Linked DNA regions of Canis lupus familiaris. The main gene of each other region encodes a partner of the protein of the gene in region 3 in a complex. Links are inferred from orthologs where the notes say so. Each region holds a gene or a part of one and is shown on either strand. Other genes may lie near its edges. The genes, in order: SNTG1, PARD3, PTEN and MAST2.

Region 1 (6,922 bases), on a different chromosome or scaffold from region 3:
ATCCTTATATCATATTTGTTTTATAACACTGTATATAAAAGTACATTAAATGAATGACATTCTGACTATAATGATGGCTAAATGCATCAAGGTGCCTTCACCAAAAGCTATGGCTGTCAGCCCATTTTGCATAGAAAAGTTATAACCATGCTAAATTATTCCTTTGGAGTCAAGTTTTTCAAAAAACTTACTTAATGAGCCTTTTAAGTTCAGTTTGGGTGTAATTTTATTGATTTAATGCAGGCTATCTCCTGTGCTTGTATCTACCCATCACTATTTTATTAAAACTACAGTCGATAGTAAGAAATGTTCAAGGCTTATTCCTTCTAATTTAGACATATTTGTTTGCTTTTCTCAATTACTATAATTTAAAAGAATATATCAGATGAAAACACCTTCAGTCCAGAACATTAAAATTTATCTCATTAAGTTCAGAATTACAAATGAAACTAATTCATCAATAATCATTAAATTGAAACAGATATGATATAAATGGAGACTGAGTTTATTTCTATGATTTATCATCTTTTAAGAAACATATATGATGACTATACTCAATATTTATTATACTTAATGTTTTAACACTATATTAGATTTGTTTAATTTCTATGTTTATTTTATAATAAAAATTGGATTATAGTTAGAAAAAGCAAGAAATTATACTTTTTAGGGATAACTCGAAACATTTGGAAGATTTGTGTAGAATTTTATATTATGAAATAACATTTGAAGATACATCACACATAAAATACATTTTACTTTATTTATTTATTTATTTTTAACTATTTTATTATTTATTCATGAAAGACAGAGAGGAGAAGCAGGGCCTCTGCAGAGCAGGGAGTCTGATGTGGGACCTAATCCCAGGACCCTGGGATCATGACCTGAGCCAAAGGCAGATTCTTTACTAAGGAGCCACCCAGGCATCTCTATACATTTTAATATATCCTTTTGAATTATAGCTAAATGCTTACACTTGAATTAAATACATATGAATTTCCACCAATATTAATAATTAAAGAAAATCAATTTTGTAAATGATGTGCTTTTTCATTAGAAGTCCTATTTTAAAAGAGCTATATTAATTCAAATTGAATTATTGTAAGGTAAAAATAAATAAATAAGTTGTCTGCCCTTTACCAGTGTTATTTACTTACTCTGGGAAAATCTTTCGGAAAAAGGAAAAATAAAGGTGCTAAAAATATTATAAATGAATTAGGCCCAATACTGGTACTTGGAATGCTAAGTATATGTTGTAAGATTTTATTCATACAAATTGTCATTTCCTGTTTTAATATTCACTACATTCTCCAAATTTTAAGGTTTTAATTTAAATAACAATGTAGAATCTTTGCAAATACCTGCTTTTAATGGATTACCTTTTAAATATGTAGATATTATATCAATATTAAGTACATTAGAGATCCAAAAATATATAAATAGATAAATAAATAGATTAGAGGGACACCTAGGTGGCTCAGCAGTTGAGCATCTGCTTTTGGCTCAGGGTGTGATCCTGGAGTCCTGGGATCAAGTCCCACATCAGGCTCCCTGCATGGAGCCTGCTTCTCCCTCTGCCTGTGTCTCTGCCTTCTTTCTGTGTCTCTCATGAATAAATAAATAAAATCTTTATTAAAAAATAAAGAAATAGATTAGAAGCTAGAAAATGTTAGGGTGCAATCCCATTAATGAAAACCAATTTCAAAATCAAAAGAAATTATTTAATTCATTAATTTGTATTAGTAATTCATTAATTTTCTTTCTGCTTATTTCATAATATATGTCCCCTCTAATTTATTTCTTAACAACTTTAATGCTAGTGGGAATACTGAGGACATAGAAGAAAAATACATAAACATCTTCATGTAAATATATTAACATCCTTGAATTTTGAAAATAATACCACCAAGGTGTTCAGTCACTGCATATTGATCTCTAATGCAGTAAACGAAGGGAAACCATAAGACTTATAAAACAATCAAAAGCTAACAAAGCATTAAGTATTTTACTTTTCAGTTGCTATATGCATCTTAAATAAGTATTGTGAGATAGCCCAAAGAAATGCATTGCTCAGGACATCAGCTTTGAGAATATGAAGCACAGACTCAAAAAAACAAAACAAAACAAAAACCATACACACACAATGTTAACATACATCACAACAATATAATATTGTCTTATTTCTAAACCTCAGGAGACTTCAAATGAAATCTTAAATTGAGACCAACAGATAGATATTTCCATGTAATTGTTTATAAGTAAAGTGTGATATTCTAAAGAAATGATAATTAGGAAAACAAAAATATTGGTATAAATAACAAAAATTTCAACTATTCAACTAACATATTTTAGTACTTAAAGTGGTCTTAGATGTTGGCACTTAGAATAAAATAATATTGAAGATATTTTTCATGTTCCCATTTTTGATATTAAACTATTGAATTGAGGTTCTTTAGAGCTAAGTTATTGAAACAATATTCCTCAGTTACATTAACATTTTAAGATATATGCAGATCAGCAGAGCTATTAGAAAGTGTCAACTGAGCAATGAAACAAGTGAAATTCTCCTATTTTTTTTCCCCTGAAAATCAGGGGAAATACCATGTCATACTGGTATAAACTGATATGTTCAATATAGAAAGCTATAGTCAGAAATAAAGGGAATTAATATATGTTACAAATCAGTTCAGCATATTGAAAATATGTACATCAAATCTCCTATTACAGCCAAGCATTCCAGAGGAGTCAATGCTATATTATCATCATCATATGTTTGTTTTTGAATTAAGTGCCCATATGTCTATTTAGGTCTTGGCTTTGTGAATCCATTTGCATGTGGCAAGTCCATTACAACTGCTCAGTTTTGCCATCAATATCTGTCAGATGTCAGCCATAGAACCAATGTTTGGGAGCCTCATCTATTCCGTGGTCCCATTAATTGTAGAGGCTGAAGGTTCTATGAAGTTTGATCTACATATAACTTGACACTTAAGAAATAAAGCATAATAAATATGCAGTACAAAATGCATTTCAGCTGGTAAATGAACCTATAATTAGCAACCTATAATTTAGTGTGGGGAATGACAAGCACATATCACTCCAATAAGACCGTGTAAGTAGACCTAAGAAAACAGACAAAAGAAAGTGATATGATGCTCACGAGTGGGATGAGTTTGAACAGGATAGTTGTGGGAATAGTGGTAATAATGAGCATGACAGTTTGGAAATCAGGAAAACCTTTGTGATGATCTGACCTCTGGAAAAACTCTCAAATTTCATGTATGGTTTTGAAATGTAGAGTTGAAGGGAATTATTTCTAGAAAGAAAGAGCATTGCAAGAGAATGAAGCCATTCATGTTACAAGTGAGGTGGTCATGACTGGACAACAGGAAATGACTTTGTAAATTAATCAAAATCACACCATTTTCTATTAGAGATTTAAACTCTAGGGAGCAATCACGTGTTTTTAGGAGTCACAAATCCTAAAATTTCATAGACTCTCACCTGTATCCGTTCCACTTCCAGAAAGGTTGCTGTTTGAAAGGCTCTTTCCCACTGGGCGAGGTCAGAGTCTAACTCCACAGAGAAATAGAGATCCTCCCCAGACTCGGACTGCACGGTGAAGCAGTGTTTCCGCCGGTCCAGTAGGTCACTGTCCTGATGAAAACCTGGAGTTACACAGGCTGGCATACATCAATCCATATTGCTAACATGGCCATACCTTGAATCAATGTTGACTAAGTGCATGGTGGAGACGCCATAGTCATAAAGATTTTATGTTACTGCTAAATCTTCGTTAAAAATGGTCATAGCAGCCTAAACTCCATGCCTCAAAGTCCATAACTAATGTATTTCTTTTCTGTATCAACACTGAAGCATGCTCATGAAACAGAAGTGAGGATTTCTGGTTTCTATACTTACTAGCAATGTAGCTACCAATGCATTTAACACAAGAGATTCAGTTCTTTACTGTATTAAGGAACAACACACACAATTTCCCTTTTCCTTTACAGAACTGTCAAGATGATGAAATTAAATAATACTTATTAATATGTTTGAAAATTTTAAAAAGGTTAATAAGCATGGTATTTTTATTGAGTTGATTTCTTCAACCCTGAAAGTATCATGAAAATATTCATCTAGACAAGGAATGAAAAAAATGAGTTTAGGTTGTCTAAAAGACATTTATTGCTTTTAAAAAATACATATTTACCTTATTTATGTAACTCTATTTTATTGAGTCAAAAAGACTTTCACATGGCAATTTCTTGGTCTTACTAGAAGTTTTCAAGTGTTCACACATCTATGTGTATTTCAACCTCAGAGATGTTAACAGAAAGTGCAGCTAAAAATTAATGGAATAGAGTAATCCCAGGCAATATGTCAGATATGGCCTTTGAATTACATGAGGAGTGTACTGAAAATAGTCAAAGTATAATTACTAGTGTTTTCCACCATTTCTTATATGGAGCTACATAAAGGTAGCATCATTAAATACCCAAAATATTAGAAGGAATTCTCTGCTTTGGCAAGTATTTTCAAAGCAATTAACTAGTTTATTAATAAATCCATTTTTTTGGCATTTGGATGCTTAAAATACTAGAGGAGAATGGATGAATGGCAGTAGGATTTAGTTTTGATAACTGCTGTCAGGAGATATTCAGAAGCTTGAAGGAAGTCACATTCTCTGTGTTTATGATTTTCTTATACCATCTTAAGGGAAAAAATGAAAACATACTATCTTCAAAAATATAGTCCAATGATAAGCAATTGAAAAGTACTTTTTAATCATTTAAAGCTTATAATGTCTAGAGAAGTGGCAAAAAAAGATATTAAATAAATTACTACACTAGTGAATATGTCGGGACAGATCATTGTAAGTGCCATTATAGGGAGTAAGAAAGCATTTTACACCAAATTGTATTGGCAAGTCAGAGAAATGTCCTCTATGATGTAAATTTTAAACAGTGGCTGAAAGATGAGTGGAAAGATTAAAGATAGAATGGACAGGAAGAAGACTTTTGCTGACAGAGGGGCTGGTATTGGCAGAGGCCTGAAGCAAAAGTGTGAGGTACATTCCAGAGATCCAGAGAACAGATGAGAGAGAGACTGAGAGACAACACTGGGAAAGAAGATGGCTAGACAGGTCATGAATCTTAGACTCTAACATAAGTGTAATGACAAGTCACTTTATAAAAAAAAATCAGCAAATCCTCTGTTGTAAATATTTCAACTTCCATATTACTTATTTAAATTGATAACATTGGCACAAAACTTGTAACTAAACATTAAAGAATTTCTGGAAACTCCACCAATTTTATGGTTTATTCAATTGGCCTTAATGTTCCTTGTAATATGAAATTGTAACAAAATAATCAATGTCAGGTTTAATAACCAGAAACCTGTTGATATTTTTCCTTCTCATAAATTGCATGTTGCTATGGAATCTTAAAATAATCATTTAAGATTTTGTTTTTCTTGGCAGCTTAACTCCATTTTCTTTTATTTTTTTTTTATTTATGATAGTCACACACAGAGAGAGGCAGAGACACAGGCAGAGGGAGAAGCAGGCTCCATGCACCGGGAGCCCGACGTGGGATTCGATCCCGGGTCTCCAGGATCACGCCCTGGGCCAAAGGCAGGCGCTAAACCGCTGCACCACCCAGGGATCCCCAACTCCTTTCTCTTTTAAAACTTGAATTAGCATCTTCTATTATATTACCCAAGCACCGAAGCTCTCAAAGATAGAATTCTCTATTCAACTCTGCAAAATATAAGTTTGACATCTATGAACACTTGTGGTCATTGGCTATTGCTATTTGTAGGACACTCCTCATGCACTGACTCAAGCTACAACTGTTATGGGCATCCGGATACTCAGGCCTCAAGGTGTACTGATGGAGACAAATATGTAAAAATAATTTTAAAAGCTTCATGACAGTTCTATATAGCTAAAACTCTAAGGAAAAAGAATAAGGAGCAATAAATCATTCTTGAGAGTGTAAAAGAGAAAGTTTTTTTTTTTTTTAAAGATTTTGTTTATTCATGAGAGACAGAGAGAGGCAGAGACACAGGCAGAGGGAGAAGCAGGCTCCATGCAGGGAGCCTGACATGGGCCTTGATCCCGTGTCTTCAGGATCAGGCCCTGGGCTGAAGGCAGTGCTAAACCGCTGAGCCACCAGGGCTGCCCTAAAAGAGAAAGTTTTATTCTAGGAAGGGACTGTCTTATCACCAAGGACTTAGAGACACCTGCAAGAGCAATCAGCTGCAAGCCTGAATGGGCTCAGGTCCTCCTGCTAAGAAATGCACATGACTACCTGTGCTATAACACCCTGGAGGGTGAGAGGGCAAGAAAGAGGTGGAATACACTGCTTTAGAGAAGGAAGAGCAAGTGAGGCAGAAGATGGAAAAAGAAGCATGTTGAAATCCTTTTCTAGAAATTTAGTTTAAAGCGATTATAGCCCAAGCATGTGAAAGAGCTACTTTAAAAGTAATCATCAAAATATGTGGAGGCTGAGAAAAATCAAGGCCATTCCACCTCAAGTTTAGCATTAGCACAAGTACAGCCATCTTAGGCCCCTGTGAATAAGAGCTGATCTTTACAGGAAAAACTGCAGAATGTCCTCGGCAGGGAATCCCATATCAGAAAGACAACAGAGCCCACACTGGTGGTAGAAAGTCCCATATTAGAATGAGAACAGAGCTCAATGCCCTTGAAAGCCCCATATCAGAATATAAACAGAACTTGAGAAATTCCTCCACCCCTTCTGAAAATCCCCTAGACCAGCCCATAAAAAACCTAGCTGTAACCCACTTCAGGGTCCAAGTCCCTGCTCTGCTGTGTCGGGTATACTTGGACCCAAGCTCGAGCTTGCTAATAAACCCTCTTGTGCTTGCATCGGTGTCGGCTCCTTGGTGGTTT
Region 2 (7,430 bases), on a different chromosome or scaffold from region 3:
CAATGGCACGCTCCCCTCCTCCCCAGGAGATCTAATGTAAAATACCAGTTTCTTGTTGAAAGAAAAGCAAGCAAGCAAGCTTATGCTCAAAGTTACACCCTCAGCCTCCACACATTAAAAAAAAAAGTCCATTTAATTCAACCAGCTCTGTGATCTCGTCATTACTCAGAGCTGAAGGGGGTTTCCCCATTAAAGCACCCCTGTCACTCTCACTTGTGACCTGTGAACATTCTTATTAGCTGCCTTATTAAGATGATATACTGTCTCTGAAGTAAGAAAAGGAGATTATCTCCTTACCTGACATGTCATCAATGGAATCATCTTTGTTAAAAGAAGGACGAAGAGGAGAAAGAACTGAGTTACAGAGACGTTGAAATTCCTGGCACGCTGTGCTATCCAAGGAAGAGCTCCATGATGGCATATACTGACAGGTACTTAGTTGAACCTTAGTGACTTATTCTTCCATGACTAGCAAACAAAACCAGAAACAAAGTACTCTCTGCTTCACCCTGGATTGATTTCAACTGTGGTAAGAACTGGGTGTCAAGGACTCATTAGATGAAATAAGAAACACATTAAACTAACCAGACTAGTATAGACAAATATAGAATTACACGTGCATTTTGCACATGCTCGGTATGCTTGTTCCACGTATACGCAAACACGTGTATTTTCTAGTAAAAACTATTGGAGGAAGGGGAGCAGTCTGGAAGATGGAGGCCATATTTGGGCAAATCTCGAGCAATGATGTGGACAGAGGAGCTTGTTCTCTTACCTCTGGCCTTGTTTTGAGACTCACGTGGGCACATGATCACAAAAGCACGCTGCTGGCAAAGTGGCCGGCTCTGTTTGCTTATTTGCTGCCCTTCCTCAATATGGGTTTGCAGCTAAATCAACTGCCTCTACTCAAAGAAACAGAAAATTCACCAGTGCCTGATTTGATATAGTTGACTTCTTTGGCCGGGGTCCCACTTTTCCTTCCTATTAGGGGGACAGCCCCATCAACCATGGATGCTTTGACTTCTGAGCTGTGTTTGGTCTACCAGGAAGAAGACCTGGGTGGTGATGTTTAACATATGATACCTTATACAACATTACTTTATAATCTATATTTATAAATATTTGTAAGTCTTTTCTATAGTCTTAGCGGACTAAGGGTGGTGATAATGTCACTGTGGGGCCATCTTTTCTGAGGGACAGTAGACTCACTCCACTTCCATTCTCATGTGAATGTGGGCCTTAGTTGGTGCCACCTACCCCCTTGCACCAACTGCGACTCCTCCCAGTGGGTACACATGCTGACCACATTCAGCCTGGCCCCTGCTATGGACATGATCTTCCTGTGATCCCAGTGAGTCCTTGGTAAGTACTCTGGAGCCAGAGGGCAGACATTTAGACAAGACTGCCAGTCTGGCACATTCCCACTTCTGTGCTGACTCATATCTAGTGCTCCTACTCCTTTCAGTGTGGCTCAAACTGTCAGTTTTAATCTTCAAACCCCTTTGTGATTTGGGTCCCCAAACATTCTATATTACCTCTCCTGCTCTACTTCTCACCATCAGCTGAGACAAACAACCTGCGAGCATTTGCCATGGGCCTCCTGGTCAGTGAGAAAATTAACAAATCCGTCCATCTTCTCTTTTCTACTTTCTCATGCCATGCATGCATATAAGAACCCAGGACATGTTATTTTCTTGGTTTACTATATATACATCTCTCGCTACTAAAACCAAGGTGACAGAATTGGATTTAGTGACGGGCTAAAGGCTGCTATGACAACCAGCGTATGCAGCACTCCACATCGAAGGCATTTTCAATAGGCCTGTGCAAAGCTTACCCTTTGGGTGGGGATATTCGTGCATGAGACATACCTGGGGATTTGATGCCCTTTATGCCTTCAAAGCACCAAATACATATTAATGAATCTAAAAGAACAGCAGGGTTTTATTTTGTAATTTGGGAAATAAGGACTGATTGGTATTAGAAGTGGAAAAGAATCTGGACCTTACTTTGGGCTTGCAGTATGCAAGGCTGGAACTCCCTCAAAACATTGGCTCACTGAAGTGACCCAGAGGGAGCAAAGGACAATAATAGGAATATGATGTGGCTTTCTGTATCATTTTTCTTTTATTTAGCTCTCGAGTATTGGCTCCTTCAATTCTGAATTCTCTGGGCTTCTTTCAGCAGCCTGGGTCTTCAGGGTCTTTCTTTCCTATCCTGTCTCTCCTCAGGTGTTCAGGTAAGCACTCAATCACCCACTTCCATGTCTGCACACAGACAGATAGAAGGAAACTTTCTTTCGACTTCTTCTAAATATGAAAAAAAAAAATCACATCTGCTAACATACTTAAAAAAAGACACCCAGCTAGGAGTTTCCACAGGAACACAGTACAGACACAAGAAAGAACAGGAAGAAATATGCCTTTTATTAGAAGTCTCATATGTACAGGGAAGGCTCTTTCTCACAGCTCACGGAAGGCCGTGAGAAAGAGCCACTGTCGTCCAAATTGGTAACACCATTTAATATCGCCACACATTATGAACACGGAGAACCTTTACACAGAGATGCAAAAGAGACATAGGTACGTGTGGACACTTCATGTATTTTCTAAAAACAAGTGGGACACAAAAATACAATGTGCCAGTAAAAAAAAAAAAAAAATAGGCATATCAGTACATGTCTTTTTTTGTTTGTTTGTTTTCTTTTTTCTTTTTTTTTTCTTTTTTTTTTTTTGTTAATACATGGTATGCTGAGCTTTCATCTCAAGCTTTTTTTCACATCAGGATTTGCAGGCACTTTAGCAACCCAGCCATGGTTTACAATACACGGCGTTCAGACTGACAGCTGAAAACATGGGAGGAATCGAGGTCCTTGTGACCCACACATACCTCACATTATTGACATGAGAGCAATCTTTTGGGACCACTGTCGGGGGCACCAGAATGTTCCCTGTGCGATCTAACAGCTTTTCCCTTGTCTTCTTTGTCTCACGGCAGAATTATTTAGTAGCATGATGGCATCACCAGGCACAGAGACAGCATGTGGATGCACTAGACTAATGTCATTTCCAACTGACTTTAAAAACCGCAGAGAGCAGAGGAGTTTTGAGAATCCCAAAACGACTGTCTGATTTATCTTTGTCCCACTCTATGCCCTTCCTGCCAACCTGTCAAATGAAAGCTAATTAAAATAATTACTGGGATGTTGTGGGCCAGAAGCTCATCCTGGGAGAATTCTTCCTTAGCTACCACCTCCCACATCACGATAGACACGGGGCCGGTGGGCAGGCTCCCTCCTTCCCCAACCAGGAGGCGCTCCCTCGCCCACATGCCCCACACACAGCTGCGCTGACTCAACACACATGTCAGGAACACGACTGAACAAGTGTATTTATAAACGCAGACCAGACTGATCACTTTATTGGTAATGTCAAGTTATAAGGCAGTTGCAAACGGACCTCCATGATAACCAGACAGTGTCGGATATGGCTCGGCTTCTTCAACAGAATAAAGGAACCTTCCTGTGGCAAGGAGCTGAGAGAGAAGGGAGAGAACCTTACTGATGACAAAGTACTATAAATGACTGTGCTGTGAAGCACCAGAGAGCCCCAATTTCTGGTGTGTGTCACCCCCTGGGATCCACCAGACACTGGGATGTAACCTCACCTCAAACTGAAAGGGGAAGAAGAGGGGAAGATACCATCCTCCACTTGGCCACAGGTTGGCGGGGCCGTAACGCGAAGCCGGGGCGCCGCAGGGCGGGGGGGCCACCTTCCCGGCACTCCAGAGGACGCAGAGCGCACAAGGCCTTGAACAGGTGATTGTCGGATGGCGGGAAATCCTTCCATGAAATAGACACTCGAGACGGAGCGGCAAAGACATTAAGGCCTTCCATTTCTTTGCCCGTACTGCTTAAAGGCACTGATACCGACAACAGAAATACTCCATAGTACCATCAAGGTTTTAAAAAAACTCCCAAAATACAAGTCTTCATACGAAAATGTCCTTTATTGCATGACATGAAGCCTCCGCTCTTCTCCTGCTCAGGAATAGAAGGGTTTCCCTTTCTCAGGAGTCTGGATCCTGTTCAGCCTAGCGACCTGAGAAGGGGAGGGGGGCACGTCCTGCCGGAATGGCCCCTTGGGCGGGGTGTAAGTGGGGTCCTGGCCTTTCTTGTATGAGTCATAGTTGTGCAGTCCCTCTGGAAGGAGAGGAGGCTGCTTCTTCATCTGCTGTTCCTTCCGCCTCTGCTCCTGGCGCAGGAGCTCCTGCGTCTCCAGCATCACCCTGGCATTGAAGCCGTGCCCGCCCAGGTAGCCGTTCCGGGATCCTTGGTAGCTGGAGTACCTGGGGTTCTCCTTGGCACTCTGGAAGCCTTCGCCGGGGGGGTAGTTCTGCTCCCAGGAATCCTGGGACACAGAGCTGGCATTTTTCCTGCTTTGCCTAGAAGGCAAACCCCAAAGGTTAGTATATGAGGATTGGGAGAAGGAGAGAGAGACAAAGGAAGAAATGAGGGAGCAGGGTGGGGGTGGCCAAGGGGAAGTGCATTTGGATTTCTCTAGTCCCGGTGTTATGCGTCCTGCGTTGGCCACAGAAACGGGGCTGGAAGAAGGAGACAGGACTGTGAGCAGCAAACAATGGCAGAAGGAGGAGAGAGAACTGAGGGATTCCAGGCTGCCCAAAAAGGGAGTCCTCAGGCTGTGTGTGGGTAGACACAGCCTACCAGAACCTTCGGGTGACAGTACCTCCTGCGATTTCGATGCATTGGCAAGATGCTGTCCAGGGTATTAGCAAGCTGCAGCTCCAACCCCAGCCCTAACTGCTCGTTTTGGAACCTTACAATGCAATCCTAAACAAGCACAGCAAATATTTTACACAGCTGCCACCATAATGCCTAAGACAGTAGCTAATCTGAAGTGTACATAATGGATTACAGGGTGAGCTCAGCTATGAAGGATCTAAGTCTGGACTCCCATATGATTAAAAATGCAACAGGCAATCCCTTCAAGCCCTGGCTGCCGAGACATATATGTCAGGAACCGACACTCTTCAGAATACATGCCCATCAGGACCGTAGAGCCTGAAAGGCAGCAGAGCCGGCACTATCTTCCTACACACCACAGTCTTGCGGAGGGCTGGGGCGACCTACTTAACCTACTTTCTGTCACCCCAGGATAGGGAAATAAATCAGAGCCATATAGAAATTTCAAAGTCTTATCATTTCTGCAATAAAGTTGCACATCATTTTCAGGAAACATTATTGTTCTGAAACATCTTTAATTTACTATCCAGTCCCTAGATGCTTTTATGAATTTACAATAAGATTGGCTATGATAAAGTAAAACAATTTTGTGCCAGAAAGGAAGACATGTCCTAATATTTTGCCTTAAAAATGAAAGAGAGGAAGGGAGAATTGAGTAATAAAACAAAATATATTGCTCCATTTATCAATAAGAAAATCATTTGGCGGCACTATGTACTGCTCAGCCTCTTACATCCACACACACACGACATGACGGAATGTTCAGGAAGACTCCTGTGAAGGGAAAAGAAGGTCTATGCAGCCACAGAGCTTCCACGGGGGTGGAGCAATTTGCATATTTGAACATTCAGAAGTGCCGTCAATATGGTTTGGATGAAATCTGCCTATTTTCCACACGGCCTAAAATGCAGCCAGGGATATTTTCAATAAGGAAAATGAACTAACGTCCAGCATCATCTCCGGATATGACTGTGATTAATTGAGTGGTCCCCAGTATCTCTATCCAGTTCTCTTTTCATGGGAATCAGACCATTTGTACACTGAGCCCAGGCAAGAATCCTTGGATTTGATGGAATAGTTTATTTGCCTAAAGCACTGATTATCTTCACTTAAAAAGTCATAAATTAATCTGCCCAGGGACACGAATGATGGAGCATGCCAGCATGAAACCAGGGATTTGACATTAATCATGAAACTTTAATTAAAACAACGAACTTGTTAGTGATGTTCCAGCAACAAAAGTGGAATTCCTTCATGGGTTAGTTATCAATTTAAAGATAACCAGAAATAGGCCACAGAAGTGTCACCTCTTTTTCATCTTTAGCCTACTGAGATCCACTAACCCCTACTCTCCCAAGCCCCGACTCTATAAAGCCCGAGGCTCCACTCCATGGTACTCATGCACCATAAGCTGAATTCTGAATCATCTCAGGAAGACAGGGTCTTTTTTATTTAAACACATTGAGAAGTGACTAAAGTTCTGTTAGGGATAGAGATTAGGACGATGTGAGAGAAGGAATTTCTTATCGTTAAAATTTCCTTCAAATTAAGCAGGCCAGAGGGAAGAAAGTGGACTTGCCTGACACATGAAGACATGTGGGGAAAGTATACCCACATCGGTATGTGCACACATACACACATATACATGTGCACACATACACATGTACACGCATGCACACACGCTTCTTTGGTAAGGAAACCAGTGATATCAATAAGCTCCTGATGAAAGAGAGGCTGAGAAATGAGCAGATCATAGATAAACTTGAGAAAACAGCAGACAACGAGTGTTGTACACTAGGCTTAGGATCAGGTGGACAGAGATTCCAGTCCTGTCTGCCACTCACCAGCTGAGGAGCCCTGGGATGGTTATGCTGTTTGGGCCCAAACTGTCTCATCTGTGAAAGAGGCAAGACACCTAACCTCACAGGGGATGGGAAGAAATGAACGAAACAGGACATGTTAACTGCGTAGAAAAGCATGGCACACAGTGCATGGTTGACTAAGGGGTGTTGGGAGAGCAGTCTGGAGACAGAGCCACTTTGCCCTCAAAGCTGAGCCTCTGGGTTTTGGGGGCATCTTTGTGACCAAGGGGGAAAAATAAGCAAAAATATTTGCTTTCTGTCCTTTGTCAAAAGGATTGGGCCGAGATCAAGATGCAGGGAAGGGCATGAAAGAATAACTGAGGAAGCATCACTAAGTGAAGGCAGGCCCACTTCCTCAGAGATCAGAAATAATCTTTTGACTGTCCCGGGACTGCTGAGTCGAAACCCACAAATAATAATAGTGGCAACAAAATGTCAGTTTCCTTTCACTGAATTCCTTTATAACCAACACACAGGTTTGTTTGGTCCTGGAATGAGCCCACCAAAGTTTGCTGAATCCACTCAAAGAAATACCCAGGTTTGGTCACAACTCTCACTTAATCATTATAACCACTTCCAACAGGGCCTGAAGGCCATCATGACGTAGAGGGCTTACGTCAAAGACCCAATGCCTTGGGAAAGCCATTTAGTCACTGAGGTGAGGAAGACACAGAAGGATGAAGAAAGACATGAAGACCAAAGCTGACACACTGACAAGCAGCTTAGAGACATAATAAATGGGCCTGGTTGGGAGAGCATGTCCAGGTGTGGAAGACAGAGGGGAAGTGAAGTGAGTGGAGCAGGGC
Region 3 (7,381 bases):
CAGTCATTGCCCGATAACTACCCGCTATCACCGTCTGGCTGACCACTGTCTGTCGACACCAGGGGTCCTTTGGTTCAGTGCTGGGGGGGAGGGCGGCTCATGCTCAGGGAAGCCGCGAAACTCCTGGGCCGTCTTCCCCCCCCTGCCAGCGGGAGCGCAGTGGGCCGACCTCCTAGGCCCGCGCTTCGGTGCTGGGGGCGCGCCCTCCCCGCCCCCCGAAGAACCCTGTGCCCGGGAATGGGAAAGCCTCCTCTCCTCGCCTCCGACGCGCAGCGCCGGGCCCCTTTCCTCCCGGGGAGGTGGATTCCAGGGCACCGCAGACTCCTCCCCAGGTAGGGCAGCTCCCGGGGAGGCGCAGGGGAGCGCGCGCTCACGGCAGGGACCCCGGGCGGGGTCGGCAACCGGAGACACAGGTGCGAAGTTCTGCCTTCCGCCGCCGACCTCCCTTCCTTGAACCTGCTCCTCGTCTCCCATCCCCCACCAGGTAGCAGCATCCGCTGCTCGGGGCAGCGCAGCTCGGCTCCGGAACCCTGCGACCCGGCGGCACAGCTGGAGGGCAGGGCGTCCCGCGTAGCCTCTGGCCCACCGCAGGCCGCGCACGCGGGTTTCGGTTCTGGAGACCCGACGGAGCCCTCCCCTACTCCCCCGGACCCCCGCCCGCTTCCCTCTTCTACGTGTGGCCTCCCCCCGCCCCACGCGGGCTCCGACCGACACGGACCGCGAGGGTCCCGCAGGTTGCGACCTCCTGCGGCGCTCCCCGGAGGGAGGCCGAGCGCGAGGGCGGGGCCGGGGCCGGGGCCGGGGCCATCCGAGGGGCGCTCTGGGCGCCGCGGGCGTAGCGAGGGCCGCCTGCGAGCACCGCGCGCCGGGACAGCCGCTCCGGGCGGCCTCCGCGTCCTGGCGCACCTCCCCGGGCGGCGCGTCACTTCCCTGCGCTTCACCCGCAGGCCGCTCCGGCCCCGCTCCGGCCCCGCTGCAGCCCCGCTCCTCTGGGCGGCCCCGGCCCGCCTGGTGGTGCTCCCCGGGCAGGGCAACGGGCGCGGCGCCCCTCGGCCGGCGTGGAGGGGGCCGGGGCTCAGGCGGCAGGTCGGTGGCGGCGCACGGCCGGGCCGAGCCCTCCGAGCAGCGGGGCCCGCAGCGGGGCGCACCCGACAGTCCCCGGGCCCGGCGCAGCCGCCGCAGGGAAGCGCAGCGCAGCGCAGCGCAGCCGCCGCAGGGCGAGGCCGGCCCCGGCTCTGCGGCCACCGGCCCCGGCTGTCCGGCCGCGGGGGGCACGTGCGTGGACGCGGGTGCTTGTGTAACCAGCTCCCCCGGCGCCGCGCCCGCCCGCCGCCCGCCACTCGCCGCCCCACCGCCGCCGCTCGCCGGCCGCCCCCGACCCTCCTCGGGGACTGGGAATTTGGAAAGTTCCCCAACTAGGGCACACGTGACCGCCCCTGGAAGTAGTCCCGGCCGCGGCCCGCGGAGCCCTCCGCCGCCCCTTGAAGCCCCTCGGCCCCGCCCACCCGCCGGGCCGGCGCTCCCTCCCGGCCCGGACTCCTGGCTCGGGCCCGGGGCGCAGCCCGACGCGCGGACGCCCACGCCGGCCCGCGGCCATCCAGCCGGCCGGGTTTTCGCGGCGGCCCGCGGGGGGCGGGGCCAGGCGGCCTCGGAGCCCGGAGCCCGGAGCCCGGAGCCCCGAGCCCCGAGCCCCGCGCGGACCGGGCAGCAGGCGCCCCGAGGGACGGACGCCCGCTCTCGGGGGCGAGGCCGGGGCGGCGCGGTGGTCGCGTCCCCGGGGTCCTGGGCCCGCGGCGGCGGGGGTGGGGCGGCGGGGCGAGCCGGGGGCGGGGACACGCGCGGAGACACAATGGGGGGAGTTCCTCGGGCTCACGCCGACACGCGGGGGGCGGACACGCGGGGGGCGGACACGCGAGGGACAGGCACGGGGGGACACGCGGGGGGACACCGACACGCGGGGACACAATGGCGGTGTTCCTCGTGCTCACGCCGACACGCGGGGGACGGACACGCGGGGGGCACAATGTGGGTGTCCTCGTGCTCACACCAATGCGGGAGGGACGGGGGAACACGCGCGGGGGGTGCTCGTGGTCACACCGACACGCGGGGAGCAGGCACGGGGGCAGTGGCCACGCGAGGGCCATAGTGGGGGTGTTCCTCGTGCTCGGACACGCGGGGAGCGGACACGCGGGGGCACACGGGGCGGACACAGGGAGCTGCGGGCGGGGGAGGGGCGCCCCGGGTCCGCTGGCCCCGCCCTCGCCCCCTGCGCCCCCGGTGCGCGGCGACCTCCGTCCGACTCGGGTCCCCGACGCCCCCGCCCGCCCGTCCGTCCGTCCGCCGCTGCAGGAGCGGCCGCGGCAAGTGCAGCTCCGGGGGCCGCTCGCACTGGGCATGCGCGGCGGTCGCCCCCCGCCCCTCCCCCCGCCCGGCCCCGGCCCCCCCCGGCCCCCGCCTCCCCCCGCCTCCCCCCGGCCCCCGCCTCCCCCCGGGCTCCGGGGCGCCGGGCTCGCGGCGGCGGCGGCGGCGGCGGCGGCGGCGGCGGCGGCGGCGTGGCGGGACTCTTTGTGCGCCGCGGCAGGATACGCGGCGGGGCGGGCGTGCGCGCTGCTCGGCGCCTCGTCTCGGAAGCTGCAGCCATGATGGAAGTTTGAGAGTTGCGCCGCGGAGAGGCGAGGCCGCGCGCAGGGAGGGAGATGAGAGACGGCGGCGGCCGCGGCCCAGAGCCCCTCTCAGCGCCCGTGAGCAGCCGCGGGGGCAGCGCCCTCGGGGAGCCGGCCGGCCGGCGGCGGCGGCAGCGGCAGCGGCAGCGGCAGCGGCGGGCGGCCCGCCCTCGGCCTCGGCCTCGCGCTCGCGCCCGCGCCCGCCCCCCCGCCCGCGCCCGCGCCCGCGCCCGCCCGCGCCCCCGCCCTCGCGCCCGCCCGCGCGCCCCCGCGCCCGCCCGCGCCCGCGCCCGCCCGCGCCCCCGCCCGCGCCCCCCGCGCCCGCGTCTAGCCGTGCTCCCGTCGCTCGGCGCCCCGCGCGGGGGACCGTGGAAGCCGCGGGCCCGGCCGGGCGGCGGCGGCTCCGGGGAGGGGGCCGCGGCCGCCGGCGCCCCGCTGCCCCCCCCGCTCCCGCCCGCACCACGGCGGCGGCGGCGGCGGCGCGCGCAGGGCCCCGGGCCGCCCGAGAGCCTGCCCCCCGCCGCCGCCCGGCCGCCCGGCCCCCCGGCGCCGCCCCGGCCCGCGGCCGCCAGCCCGCCTGAGCGCGCGCAGGCCCCGCCGCCGACGCCCGCCCCGGCCGCGCGAGGGCCGCCCGCCGCCAGGCCCGGGGCCGCCTGCAGCCTGCGGAGGAGGCCGCGCCGCCCGCCGCTCCTGCCGTCTCTCTCCTCCTTCCTCTCCAGCCACCGGCTCCCAGACATGACAGCCATCATCAAGGAGATCGTCAGCAGAAACAAAAGGCGCTACCAGGAGGATGGGTTCGACTTGGACTTGACCTGTATCCCTTTCCGCGCGGCCGCGGGCCCCCGCACCCGCACCGGGACCCCGCACCCGCACCCGCACCCGGGACTCGGGACCCCGCGCCCGCACCCGCACCCGCACCCGCACCCGCACCCCGGACCCCGGCCTCGGCTTCCCCGGCCCGGCCTCCGACCTCGGCCTCGGGGCTCCGGCCCGGCCTCCGACCTCGTTCCCGGCCCCGGCCCCGGCGCCCCGGCCCCGGCGCCCCCGGCCCCTCCGCCCCTCCGCCCCTCCGCCCGGCCGCGGCTGTCGGGCGGCGGCGGGTCCCGGCCCTGCGCGCGCCCGGCCCCTCCGGAGGGCCATTGTCCGCGCCCGCGGGACTCGGTGCCCCTCGGCGGACCCCGGAGCCGGGAACCCGGGCTGCCCGACGCGCGGAGGGGACGCGGCGCCCGGGCTCCGGGGTCGAGCACGTTTCGGTCAAACCTTGGCTTTAGGCCCCCAGATCGACGGCACAGATTAGATGAAGATGAAAATTAGCGTTGCACGTATGCAGATTGCATCAGAATCTCGCAGTGATTTAGTTTCCTGGGTTGCTCGCATTGATAGACTTTTTTTTTTTTTTTAATTCGTAATGGGAGTTGTGAGCTGATTTGCATAACTTTGGAAGCAGAATCGCTCTCAGCACTCGGGGCGTTCGTTGGAGGGCACAGAAAGTAGGTTCGCGTGTGCTCACGCCGAGTTGAATTACAACCGGGAACTGCCTCTCCCAAGTTGTGTAGTTCGCGATCAATAGTGTCACAGGTAACGCACGTCCTGAGCCGCTCTTGCTGCTCGGTCTTTCTGAAATTTGCCTCCCCCTCCCCCTCCCCCCCTCCCCCCTCCCTTGATGGGGTGATCCAGGACAGGGCATGGGATTTTGCAGCTCAGCCGCATTTTAGGTTCAGTGGTCTTGTCTCACGTAGCAGAATGGGGATTGACTGCTTCTTGATGCCGGAGGAGCGTGTTGTGTGGGTTCTGGGGTATTGTGTGCAGCAAATCGTGATTGCAGACATGAAGCTTCAGTTCTTCCTTGAAATGCAAGTGCCACTGCGAGTCCAGAACTGCTGCTCACCTCATCCAGCTTTCAGGACTCCTGACGCCGCGTGATGTCCGTTAATTGTACTCGGGCTCGGGTGTAAGGTCAGGTGTAATTTACCAGCTAATCACCAGCAACGCAGGCAAGAGCGGATCACTCCAGCTTCGCATGGTCTAGGTATGTTAGCTGGTTTTCCACACAGTGTCTTGAATTTACTGACTCAGGTTGTTGAATGACACAGAAACCCGAGAATTTTTAACAGGAGTATCGTTTCGGTTGCCTAAAAGTTAGGCCTTTGTACCTGAAAAGATAGCGGTTATTGAAAGGCATTGATCTTGGCAGTTTCAGGTATAATGAACTGGTTTTGATCAAGAGTTGGGGCAGAGAGCCCTCCTTTTTTTTTTTTTTTTTTTCCCCCAGAATGGAAAGTATCACAGGCGTTCAGCGTTCCTGCTTAGGCCAGTGTCTAAGGCATGAAAAACAGAATTGACTTGTGGGTCTGAGATGCCCACAGCATCTTATTAACAAGGCCTCTGTGAAGGCCAGAAGTTTGGTGATGTGAATTATAACAGTGGACGGTATTTAGTTCAAACGTGATTGCGTCGGTTGTTATTGGAGGATTCTTAATAAAGATCATTTTTAGCGAACACCAGTAAACATTTTGCCTAAAGGTGGAGTGGCGCTGAAGGATCCATATGTCCTGCTAAACACTGTGGGGAGGATTTGGTTTTTGAAGAAAATTCTTTACATCTGAAGAGGTTTTTTTTTTTTTTTTTTTTTTTTTATAATTCCCTTTGGATTACATAGCAGCACATAAACGTGCACAGCTAATTCTGCCCAAGTGTCTGTTTTGAGCTGAAGGTAAAAGTCACCGAAGAAGGAGCTTTCTAGCACACAAAACGTAAGTTTTCTGTTGATTAAAAAATTATGTATTAGAAGACTATTTAGAAGTTTTGGAGTCTGCATTGATTGCAACACTGGTCAGGCTGAACTTGACCCGCTTGCCTAGAAGGTGACCAGTTGCTGGACAACTTCTGATTTGTAATTTATTTCAAAAGCAATCTAGCGTTAGTGTGAACTGACAGCCGTCTGGGTGTATAGGAACAAATTGATTACACGTTTCTTTGACTTTTTAGGAAAAAATCCCCGTGCAAAAACCAATGTCTGTGGATGCTGTTTGGTAGATTGCTTTTATCATTCAGAGTAGGTTTATTTTTACGTTACCCATTTGCTCTAAAATAGTCAGGGCTTTAAGATTCAGATCGTTCTGCGGGGTTCTTACACAGGAGTCCTGAGCTGGTTGGCCAGCTCGCCTTTGACTTCACAGGTGTGTGCCTCCATACCTGAAATTTACGTGACCTAGAGACTGTTACTAGAAGGGTACTTTTAGTTAGGGTGTGCATAGAAAGCAGTGTCAGACGCTGCGTCAAATGACTAGTAACACTTGATTTCTAGAGTTGTGGTTTTATTGAGCCAAATATATGAAAAAAAAATCATTTAGGAAAAAGTCAGTGAAGGGCTCTTTTTTTTTTTTTTTTTTTTTTTTGTTAGTTGGACTTCCAATAATTTTGATTACACCAGTGCACTTTGGTTTGCTTGGTTTCGCTTTAGGGTTCTCTGTGTATTGTGGGGGGAAATTAAGGTGGCCATTGAGGACTTTGGCAGGTTGTAGTGTCTGCTTCAGCAGCTAGCCTGTGAGAAGTTACGTTCCCTTATGAGAGTAGTGATTGGAGCATTTCTATCTGATAAGAAAGATGAAGAACGTAGTGATTTCTCAGAGGAAAACTGAAGACGATTATTTGCAAAATTGAGTTGTCCTAAAAATAATTTGTTAACATCTGTTAGTCTGGAAAATGGTGGTGACCATGAGACTAAAAAAAATTTTAGTGTCTTTAGATTTCATGGGAACTTTAGGCTCTGTTTGTATGTATTTTTACATCTTGATAAGTTTGCGTCTTTTCAAATATTAACCATAGGGAGTATTTTTAACTTGTAGAGGGTAACAGTGACTATGGAAGTTAACTGTATTATCTTTTAAGATCAGTGATTACTGAAGTGCCCGTATTGTGAGGTGGTTTTTTTTTTCTTTTTTTTTTTGTTGTAGTTGTTTTGTTTTTTTAAGATTCTATTCACAGTTTTTATTTTACACTGTTTTGTATCTGCTAAGTTGTATTTCTTTTCCGAGCAACATGACTGGGCATCCTGATCGCTGTGTAACAGTTTACAAACTTCATTTTCATAAAGATTGTTCAAGAATAGAGCGCATCTAAAAGGAGAATAATTCACAGTTTATATGACTTTGTATAAGGAAAAAGGAATTTTATTGCTGTCCATTGTAAAAGTTTGCACAGGAGTACAACCATCAGTACAGATTTTACATTGCTTATGATACACTAAATGAATAATAGATGAATAAGCGTCATAAAATATGGTGAGGTATAACCACCGTAGTTTTACATTTATTTTTAGAGAGCATAGAAAAAGATGCATTGGTGTTCCTTACCTTTTAGAATTTTACTTTAACACGAGAAAGGCGGCTATTGATATTTTAGTTTTTATGTGGGACGGTGTATCTGCTTTTTCCTAATAACCACTCAAAAAAAATACTCAAACTTCTTAATGTTCGAGGTTTCCTTGGTTTTTAGAAGTGAAATCTCTGATTCTTATTTTCACATGTTCTCATTTTGAGAGTTGCCCCGTTTGCTGTTGATTTGTGTGGTGATAGCTTAGTACTTTTTAATATATCTTAAGCCACTTAATCACTTCAGTGACTTTTAATGAAGGAATATTTATTATGGGAAAATCAGTGCACAAAGTTTCAACATTAATTCACTCTCAGTAAACATTGTACTGTAAAGTTTTGACC
Region 4 (6,922 bases), on a different chromosome or scaffold from region 3:
GCCCCAAGCAAGTCCTCTCCACCTACCTTACCTGAACTACTTACATTCTTGTATTTATTTCATTTGTGGGTTCACCGAAATCTCCCTAAAATCGTAGTTGCAGTACCCTTCTCTTGCTGCTTCCAACCCTCAGGTCTGCTCTATCTACATTGTAAATAGCCCCAAGCTGTTCCTCTCCATTCCTCCTGCCTTGATTTATGCCTTTTTCATGCACATTAACTGCAGTAGCCTGTTAATGGATTTTCCTGCTTTAGGCTTATGCTCTTTAGTGCACTGTCCACACTACAGCCAGAGTGATCTTTCTAAAATACCTATCTGGTCGCCTCACTCCTGCTTTGAAGTCTTTCTATTCCTGACATTCTGCCTGGGGTGGGAAGTGAACAGTGAACGCTCCATTGAGAGTTGCCTCTTGAACTGGGGTCTAGTTGGAGAAACAGGTAAAGCCACATGTGTCTGTGACATTCCCTAGTATCATAGAGTCCTAAAGCTCCCTCTCACAGCGCACTGGCCTTCTCCTTTTCAAAAGTCTCTGTACCACCCAATTGTTTCTCCCTAGAGCCAGCTCTGCCCAGCCCAGTCCTGCATTAGCCCAACCACACTGTGCCAGGGGATTACTTAACCAACCTTTGTCTTCTCTACAGGCTCATGAGCGCTCAGAGAGTTCAGAAGTAGCTTTTGTGATGCAGCTGGTGAAGAAGCTGATGATTGTCATCGCCCGCCCAGCTCGACTCCTGGAATGCTTGGTGAGTGGGCTCCTAGGAGGGTCGGGAGGGGGTGGGCACATAGGGGAAGTCTCCTGCTAACAGCAAAACTGGTAGCACCACTGTCATTTCTGCTGCTGAAGTCCTTACCTGACTATGATATGCCAGCATGGGGGCCCAGACAAGCTCCTGTGAGGAAAATGGCTGGTCCTGAGGGGTAGCAGCCTGGCCCTCTCACACCGAGCAGGGCCCAGGAGAGTGGAGGTCTGGGTGGTCAGGAGCACAGGCCAGGTCGGTCAGCACAAGTCGAGTGCTTCACTTTGTCATGAGGGAGCACCTTATTGAGCACCTACTTCATACCAGTCACTGGGGGGGACACAGACATGAACAAAGCAGAGTGTCTGATCCTAAGGTGCTCCCTCTGCAGTGGAGTTAGTCTTGTAGTGCCTCGTATAGGAGGCATGGAGACCTAGAAATAATAATTATGGTCCTGCAAACAGTGTTGCCACTGAGGTGAGTCCAGGGTGCAAGAGAACAAGTCAGTGCCTCTCTGTGGGCCTTGATTTCCTCACTGAGGTCATAGAAGTGTTAGCAGGGGTTAGCCCAGGCTGTGGCACTTAGTAGGTGCCCAGTGACTGGAACCCTCATGTTTCTGTGCTCCGGATAGATAAAGAGTGCTGTGCTGTCCACATGGCTCTCCAGCCCCTAGCACATGGGGGGTGCTTCGTAAACATCTGAAGGCAGGAATGCGTGTACGTGTGCGCTTATGTGTGACAATACCATCTGGTTCGCAGGAGACTCTGGATCAGATGAATAGGTTGAGCCATCTTGAAACCAAAAAGTCTGGTTCTTATTGTCAGGAAGACAGCCTATGCTTAGGAGGTCTGATCTGGAGCTGACCTGGAAGACAACTTTGTCCCTATTCTTAAGATCCCCGATTCATGATGTTTCTGGGTGCTCGGTGGCAAGTGTCCCATCATAAAGAAAAAGTCTTGTTCATCCTCCTGGGTATGTGCTGTGAAAATCAAAGAGGCGTTCACTTGTAGCCCTCACCACTCACTGTCTCCCTTTCCTGGCACAGGAGTTTGACCCGGAAGAGTTCTACCACCTGTTGGAAGCAGCCGAGGGCCATGCCAAAGAGGGACAAGGGATTAAATGTGACATTCCCCGCTACATCGTTAGTCAGCTGGGCCTCACACGGGATCCACTGGAGGGTGAGCATGCTCCCTGGTGGCTACAGACACACCGTAGCCAACAAGCTCTAACCACGGGAAGGCCACTAGAAGAAGAGGCTTAGACTGGACATGGACACGATCAGAGGCCTCAGGGCCATCTAAAGAACCCAGTGTTCTCTGTCACAGTGTAGCCCCTCCTTCACATTCGTTCACATCCGCCTGGTGTGACCCAACCTGAACTGCCATGGGCCCAGCTGGAGCCTAATGTCAGAAGAGGTCAACAGCAAAGGACTACAATTACATTTTCAAAAATGATCACCTCCTCTGCCTTTTTACCTCCTTTTGGGCCCCCTTACCAGCCTTCCTGTGACTCTGGTGTGGTCCTGACCCAGGGCTTCAGCAGATATCTCCATTCACACTATGCCCCTGTGGAGCGTGGGCTTCTAAGTCACTGGTCTCTAGTCATCCTGCTCCTGCTTCCCTGCTTCCCAACCTCAACGGTGAAGCAGGATGGGGACCAGTAGCCCAACCTTGGGCCCTGTTTTCCAGGAATTGTCCTAAATTTGAGGGAAGCTTTTTAGAATTTGCCAGACCTTGTGAATGGCACTGGACTTCTAGAGATAGGAGTGGCAATGTAATTTGGGAAACAAGTCCAAAAGCTGTGACTCCTCTGAGGATAGAGCCACAGGACTGTACCTGCACCCCAGACTGATGCGGGAAATATTAATGCCTGCCTTGCATGCACCTGTCATGTGATGTGAGTGGACTGCTGAGATGCCTGACATTGCTGCACACACCTTTCTCTTCTGCCCTTGCTTTATTTCTAGAAATGGCCCAGTTGAGCAGCTATGACAGTCCTGACACTCCAGAGACAGATGATTCGGTTGAGGTAAAGACCTTGAGCTTCTGCCCCAATCCTGGAGGCTGGGCCCTATGAACCAAAGGACCACGAGTCCTATTTGAGAGGATGTGTGAAGGTGGAGGGGAGGTATGGATGGTAGCACCTACTATCTCAGAAGCCATTCAGCTCCTGCATTGGGAAGAATGGGTGGGGGCTGCAGCAGGACTAGGCGCTGACCCGATGCTGGGGCTCTGGCTTCCCCAGCACGTGGGCTCTAAGAAGCACGCTTGCCTCTTGCCTTTGCTCTTGTCTTCCAGGGCCGTGGGGCATCTGTGACATCTAAAAGGACGCCCTCTGAGGAGGACTTCGAAACTATTAAACTCATCAGCAATGGCGCCTATGGGTAAAGGCAGGGCTTGGGGTGTGGCCAGGATTGGAGCTAGGTCAGCCCTTGGGCTCTTCCTTCTAGAAGTGTAGGATACCTGATCCTCTGGGCAGCACATGCTCAGGATAGACCCTCTCCGACCTCAGAGCCTCCTGGAGAGAGACAGGAGTTCAGTCCTCTGACATCTGAGCATTGTTCCTTTCTTGACAAGGCCCCCACTCCTCTTGGTAGCACTCCTCCTCTTCCTGAGCTCTGGGGGAGAACTGAACTGTGTCCTCAGGATTAGTGTGTTGGGAAATTGAAGAGCTCTGTGGGCAGGGGCCCAGATCCTTCTCATCGATAAGCACACGCCTGTTCCTTTGGTCTGCGCATTTATAGGGTGTGATTAGACACCCCAGCTCTGGGTGGTGGGGAGCACAGCCCAGTTGCTGAGGGTCCATGGGAGATGGGATGGACTGTGTTTCCCAGGGCTGTATTCCTGGTGCGGCATAAGTCCACCCGGCAGCGCTTTGCCATGAAGAAGGTCAACAAGCAGAACTTGATCCTTCGGAACCAGATCCAGCAGGCCTTTGTGGAGCGTGACATATTGACCTTTGCTGAGAACCCCTTTGTGGTCAGCATGTTCTGCTCCTTTGAGACCAAGCGCCACCTGTGCATGGTGATGGAGTATGTTGAAGGTACTGTGGGAAAGGTGGCCTGGCAGGGAGACCAAGGCACAATGTGAGGCTTAGCCCTAAGCTGTGACCAACAGCTTTGTATAGGAGTAAAGTTTCAGGGCCCAGCTTCCCAATCTCTCTTTGGCATTGGTTTCTGCCTTAGGATCTCAGAGACCATTTGACCACAGTGGGCACAAGGCTCCCTGCCCCTCACAGGGAGAGGCTTCTGGAATAGTAGCTGCCATGAGGCTGCCCATGTCAGGTGCAAAGACAGGCTTTCTGGGACAAGATGTATCAGCCCAACAGCTGTAGAATCCTGCATCCCAAAGCCTGGATGGTCTCTACTGCTGGGGCCAGGCAGGAACAAAGGAGATAGCAGGCCACACAAGCCCAGGGTTGCATGCTGGGAGGACTGCAAATGGACCCTCAGAAAAAAGAAATGCCATTTCCCTGACCGATGGCTTGTGAAGGGGACGCCCCTTAAGGCCACACAGAAGCTCTGGGGATGGAGTAGAAGAGCATAGTGGGGCATCTGGGGAGAGATGGCAGCTGCGTACAGCTTCCAAAGACACTTTGCTTAAGTCTTGAAGTTGAAACTGAACAACACTCTCCTTTTAATTCAGAGAGTACGTGCTGGGAGTTCACAAGGTTACCTTGTTCAAAAACCAAAGGCTAGTCAACAGGAAGGACATAAGTGGACAAAATGCTGAAGTCTCAGTCAGATGTGTTCATTGTATACAGGACTTCCACCCTAAAATAACTTTGCTCTACCCTTGCAAGTCCCCTGGAGGACAGATTCCTACCCTCTGGCCTGAACAGTGGCCTTGACAGCCATTGGCAGATTCACCTCCTGCCGACTCCTCTCCACACTCTGTCTGCACCCAGACCAGCAGCATAAGAGCTAGATTCCCAGTCTCTAGCACTGGGGTGTTCCATGAGGCTCTCTCTTCTAGGGCCTCGGAGACTATAAGCCTGAGACAATCCTGAGTAGGGAACTCGATCCTTCCTTCATACTGTTCTGGGCTTGTTACAGGAGGAGACTGTGCCACTCTATTGAAGAACATTGGGGCCCTGCCCGTGGACATGGTGCGTCTGTACTTTGCGGAAACCGTGTTAGCCCTGGAATACTTACACAACTACGGCATCGTGCACCGTGACCTCAAGCCTGACAAGTACGCCCCCTCTCTGGGTCCCTTGTCCAAGGTTTCCCTCTTGGGTCTCTATAGATAAATGGGGGCAGACATAGCATGTTTGGATTTATCCCAGAATGGCTGCCAGAAAACAGTGCTCATGTGGGTCTCTATCTAGGCTTACTACTCGAGCCCCTGACCATCCCAAATGCAAAGACCATTGCTAGCCATTCTGGCAGTGGCATCATAAGACCTGTAAGAGTCATGTAAGAGTCACTAAGGAGCTCATCTAAGGGAACAAAGGAGGAACAGAAGAATCGGCATCTAGGAGATGGCCGAGCAAGTGTTCTGACATTTACTGACCTCTCTGGGCCAAGTGCTATAATCTGGGTTGTTTGTCTTTTTAAAAAAAAAGATTTATTTATTCATGAGAGACACAGAGAGAAGGCGGAGACACAGGCAGAGGGAGAAGCAGGCTCCCCTCAGGGAACCCGATGTGGAACTCGATCCCAGATCCTGGGATCACACCCTGAGCCAGAGGCAGATGCTCAACCACTGAACCACCCAGGCGTCCGTATAATCTGGGTTGTAAAATAATCCCTGACCTATAGAACTTTAGTATGGGAAACAGAAATATCTGCATATAGGCTACTTCTCAGAGGGCATTGGTCAGATGGGAAAAGATGAGAGGAGCTTTCTAAAGCCAGGAAGCAGGATTTGCAAAAGGTGCACAAGTATCCGAGAATGTGATCCAGGAACTACAGTACAGTATGCGGAGACTGAGATTGTTAATTGGTCAGAGTAGTAAGAGGTAAGGCTAGAGAGAGAGGCAGGGATTGGGTTATCAAGAGTCATTTTGTAAAGTAAGTTTTATTTTTATTTATTTATTTTTTAAAGTGGGTTTTATTTTAAAGGGTCCTAGCAAGTCTTCAGAGGGCCTGTTAGCCAAAGGTATGTGATAGAATGGCACACTCAGATTGTGGTTTAAGTTTAGAAACAGCACTCTGCCAGCAGGAAAATGGTGAGGCTGTTGCAGTAGACCAAGCCCAAACCAACCGTGCCTGCAGGATGCGAAAGAGAGGGGATATTGTTAGGAAGTAGAAAGGAAACCAACAGGTAGGGGTGAGGTAGGAGAGAAGGGAGCAGGAGTGGGGGATATCTTCCAGATTCCCCGTCAGGACTAGTGCATGGGGATAAGCCTCTGTTGTGGAAAATGGCTTTGACACTAGACAGACCGGAGTTCAGATGACCACTTGTTAATTCCTTGAGCTTGGATCCATTAATCAAACCTGAGAGCCTCCTGTTCCTTGCCTTTAAAATGGGATAATAGTTCCTATTTTGTTGTGTTAGTTACTCTGTTTTAAGACGTTTCAGGAGCCAGAATATCTTTATAAATAATCAATAAAGTACTTTTCACAGAGCTCAGAGATAAAGGTCATTTTCTGTGGAGAGGACCAGTTAGGTATGACTCTGTTTGGAAGGGTTGAGTTCACGGTGCTTGTAAGACATCTGGGCCGTTAGTGGGCACAGAGCTCATAAAAGAAGTCAGATGCTGTTTGGGAATCCTAGAATAAAGGGGCAGTCGGGTGAAGCCCTTGTCATGAAATGAAATGACTCGGGGTGAATATGTGACAGGAGAAGAAAGAGACCATTTTCTATGAGATCCTCTCTCAGTTTCTCCCAGCCAACCCTTCTAGAAAACCACCTGTGGATATAGAACAAGATTATGGGCCCCTCTCCCCTCACCCTGAGCTGGGTACTGTAGACACCCAGGGAGGAGAGGGGCCTACGTGTGGCTGCAGCCTTGGAATGAGCCTGATTGCTCTGTGGACAAAGTGTCCCCAGCTGGCTGGTCCCTGTTCCCAGTCCAGAATACAGCTGAGGGTAGTAAACATTGATGAGTTGGGGGAATGGGCAAAAGGCAGGCTGGCTGTTCATGCAGAATGTAGTCCTCACGAAGCCAGAGATATTTTTTCTTTCATAGCTGCCTGTCTCCCTTCTGAAGCTACCCTGTTATGCCCTACGGGAGCCTGT

What was found.
Region 1: the proteins of PTEN (region 3) and SNTG1 are in contact, whole or in part, in a crystal structure (PDB 7PC7), measured with the Homo sapiens proteins. The link is inferred for Canis lupus familiaris from reciprocal best matches to the Homo sapiens genes PTEN and SNTG1. Residues at the interface, in NP_000305.3 of Homo sapiens: Asp395, Gln396, His397, Thr398, Gln399, Ile400, Thr401, Lys402, Val403; in NP_001274742.1 of Homo sapiens: Gly67, Phe68, Gly69, Leu70, Ser71, Ile72, Lys73, Gly74, Glu77, His78, Ser85, Lys86, Ile87, Ser88, His118, Val122, Leu125, Arg126.
Region 2: the proteins of PTEN (region 3) and PARD3 are in contact, whole or in part, in an NMR structure (PDB 2K20), measured with the Rattus norvegicus proteins. The link is inferred for Canis lupus familiaris from reciprocal best matches to the Homo sapiens genes PTEN and PARD3. Residues at the interface, in NP_113794.1 of Rattus norvegicus: Asp393, Glu394, Asp395, Ser398, Gln399, Ile400, Thr401, Lys402, Val403; in NP_112514.1 of Rattus norvegicus: Ala599, Gly600, Leu601, Gly602, Val603, Ser604, Val605, Lys606, Gly607, Asn608, Arg609, Ser610, Lys611, His614, Lys622, Ile625, Met659, Leu662, Arg663, Met666.
Region 4: the proteins of PTEN (region 3) and MAST2 are in contact, whole or in part, in an NMR structure (PDB 2KYL), measured with the Homo sapiens proteins. The link is inferred for Canis lupus familiaris from reciprocal best matches to the Homo sapiens genes PTEN and MAST2. Residues at the interface, in NP_000305.3 of Homo sapiens: Pro391, Phe392, Asp393, Glu394, Asp395, Gln396, His397, Thr398, Gln399, Ile400, Thr401, Lys402, Val403; in NP_055927.2 of Homo sapiens: Lys1112, Lys1113, Tyr1114, Gly1115, Phe1116, Thr1117, Leu1118, Arg1119, Ala1120, Ile1121, Arg1122, Val1123, Tyr1124, Met1136, Trp1138, Glu1141, His1170, Val1174, Ile1177, Leu1178, Leu1191.

What each region holds. Positions count from the first base shown.
Region 1 is NC_049250.1:3,047,888-3,054,809, reverse strand, and holds part of SNTG1 (gamma-1-syntrophin), read right to left. Parts: intron 3,658-6,922; coding exon 3,505-3,657; intron 1-3,504. UniProt on the Homo sapiens protein: Adapter protein that binds to and probably organizes the subcellular localization of a variety of proteins. May link various receptors to the actin cytoskeleton and the dystrophin glycoprotein complex.
Region 2 is NC_049223.1:3,009,329-3,016,758, reverse strand, and holds the end of PARD3 (partitioning defective 3 homolog), read right to left. Parts: intron 4,444-7,430; coding exon 4,044-4,443; 3' UTR 2,405-4,043; downstream 1-2,404. UniProt on the Homo sapiens protein: Adapter protein involved in asymmetrical cell division and cell polarization processes. Seems to play a central role in the formation of epithelial tight junctions. Targets the phosphatase PTEN to cell junctions.
Region 3 is NC_049247.1:38,114,971-38,122,351, forward strand, and holds the start of PTEN (phosphatidylinositol 3,4,5-trisphosphate 3-phosphatase and dual-specificity protein phosphatase PTEN), read left to right. Parts: upstream 1-3,290; 5' UTR 3,291-3,398; coding exon 3,399-3,477; intron 3,478-7,381. UniProt on the Homo sapiens protein: Dual-specificity protein phosphatase, dephosphorylating tyrosine-, serine- and threonine-phosphorylated proteins.
Region 4 is NC_049236.1:14,459,863-14,466,784, reverse strand, and holds part of MAST2 (microtubule-associated serine/threonine-protein kinase 2), read left to right. Parts: intron 1-641; coding exon 642-743; intron 744-1,782; coding exon 1,783-1,915; intron 1,916-2,703; coding exon 2,704-2,765; intron 2,766-3,034; coding exon 3,035-3,120; intron 3,121-3,570; coding exon 3,571-3,779; intron 3,780-4,791; coding exon 4,792-4,930; intron 4,931-6,922. UniProt on the Homo sapiens protein: Appears to link the dystrophin/utrophin network with microtubule filaments via the syntrophins. Phosphorylation of DMD or UTRN may modulate their affinities for associated proteins. Functions in a multi-protein complex in spermatid maturation.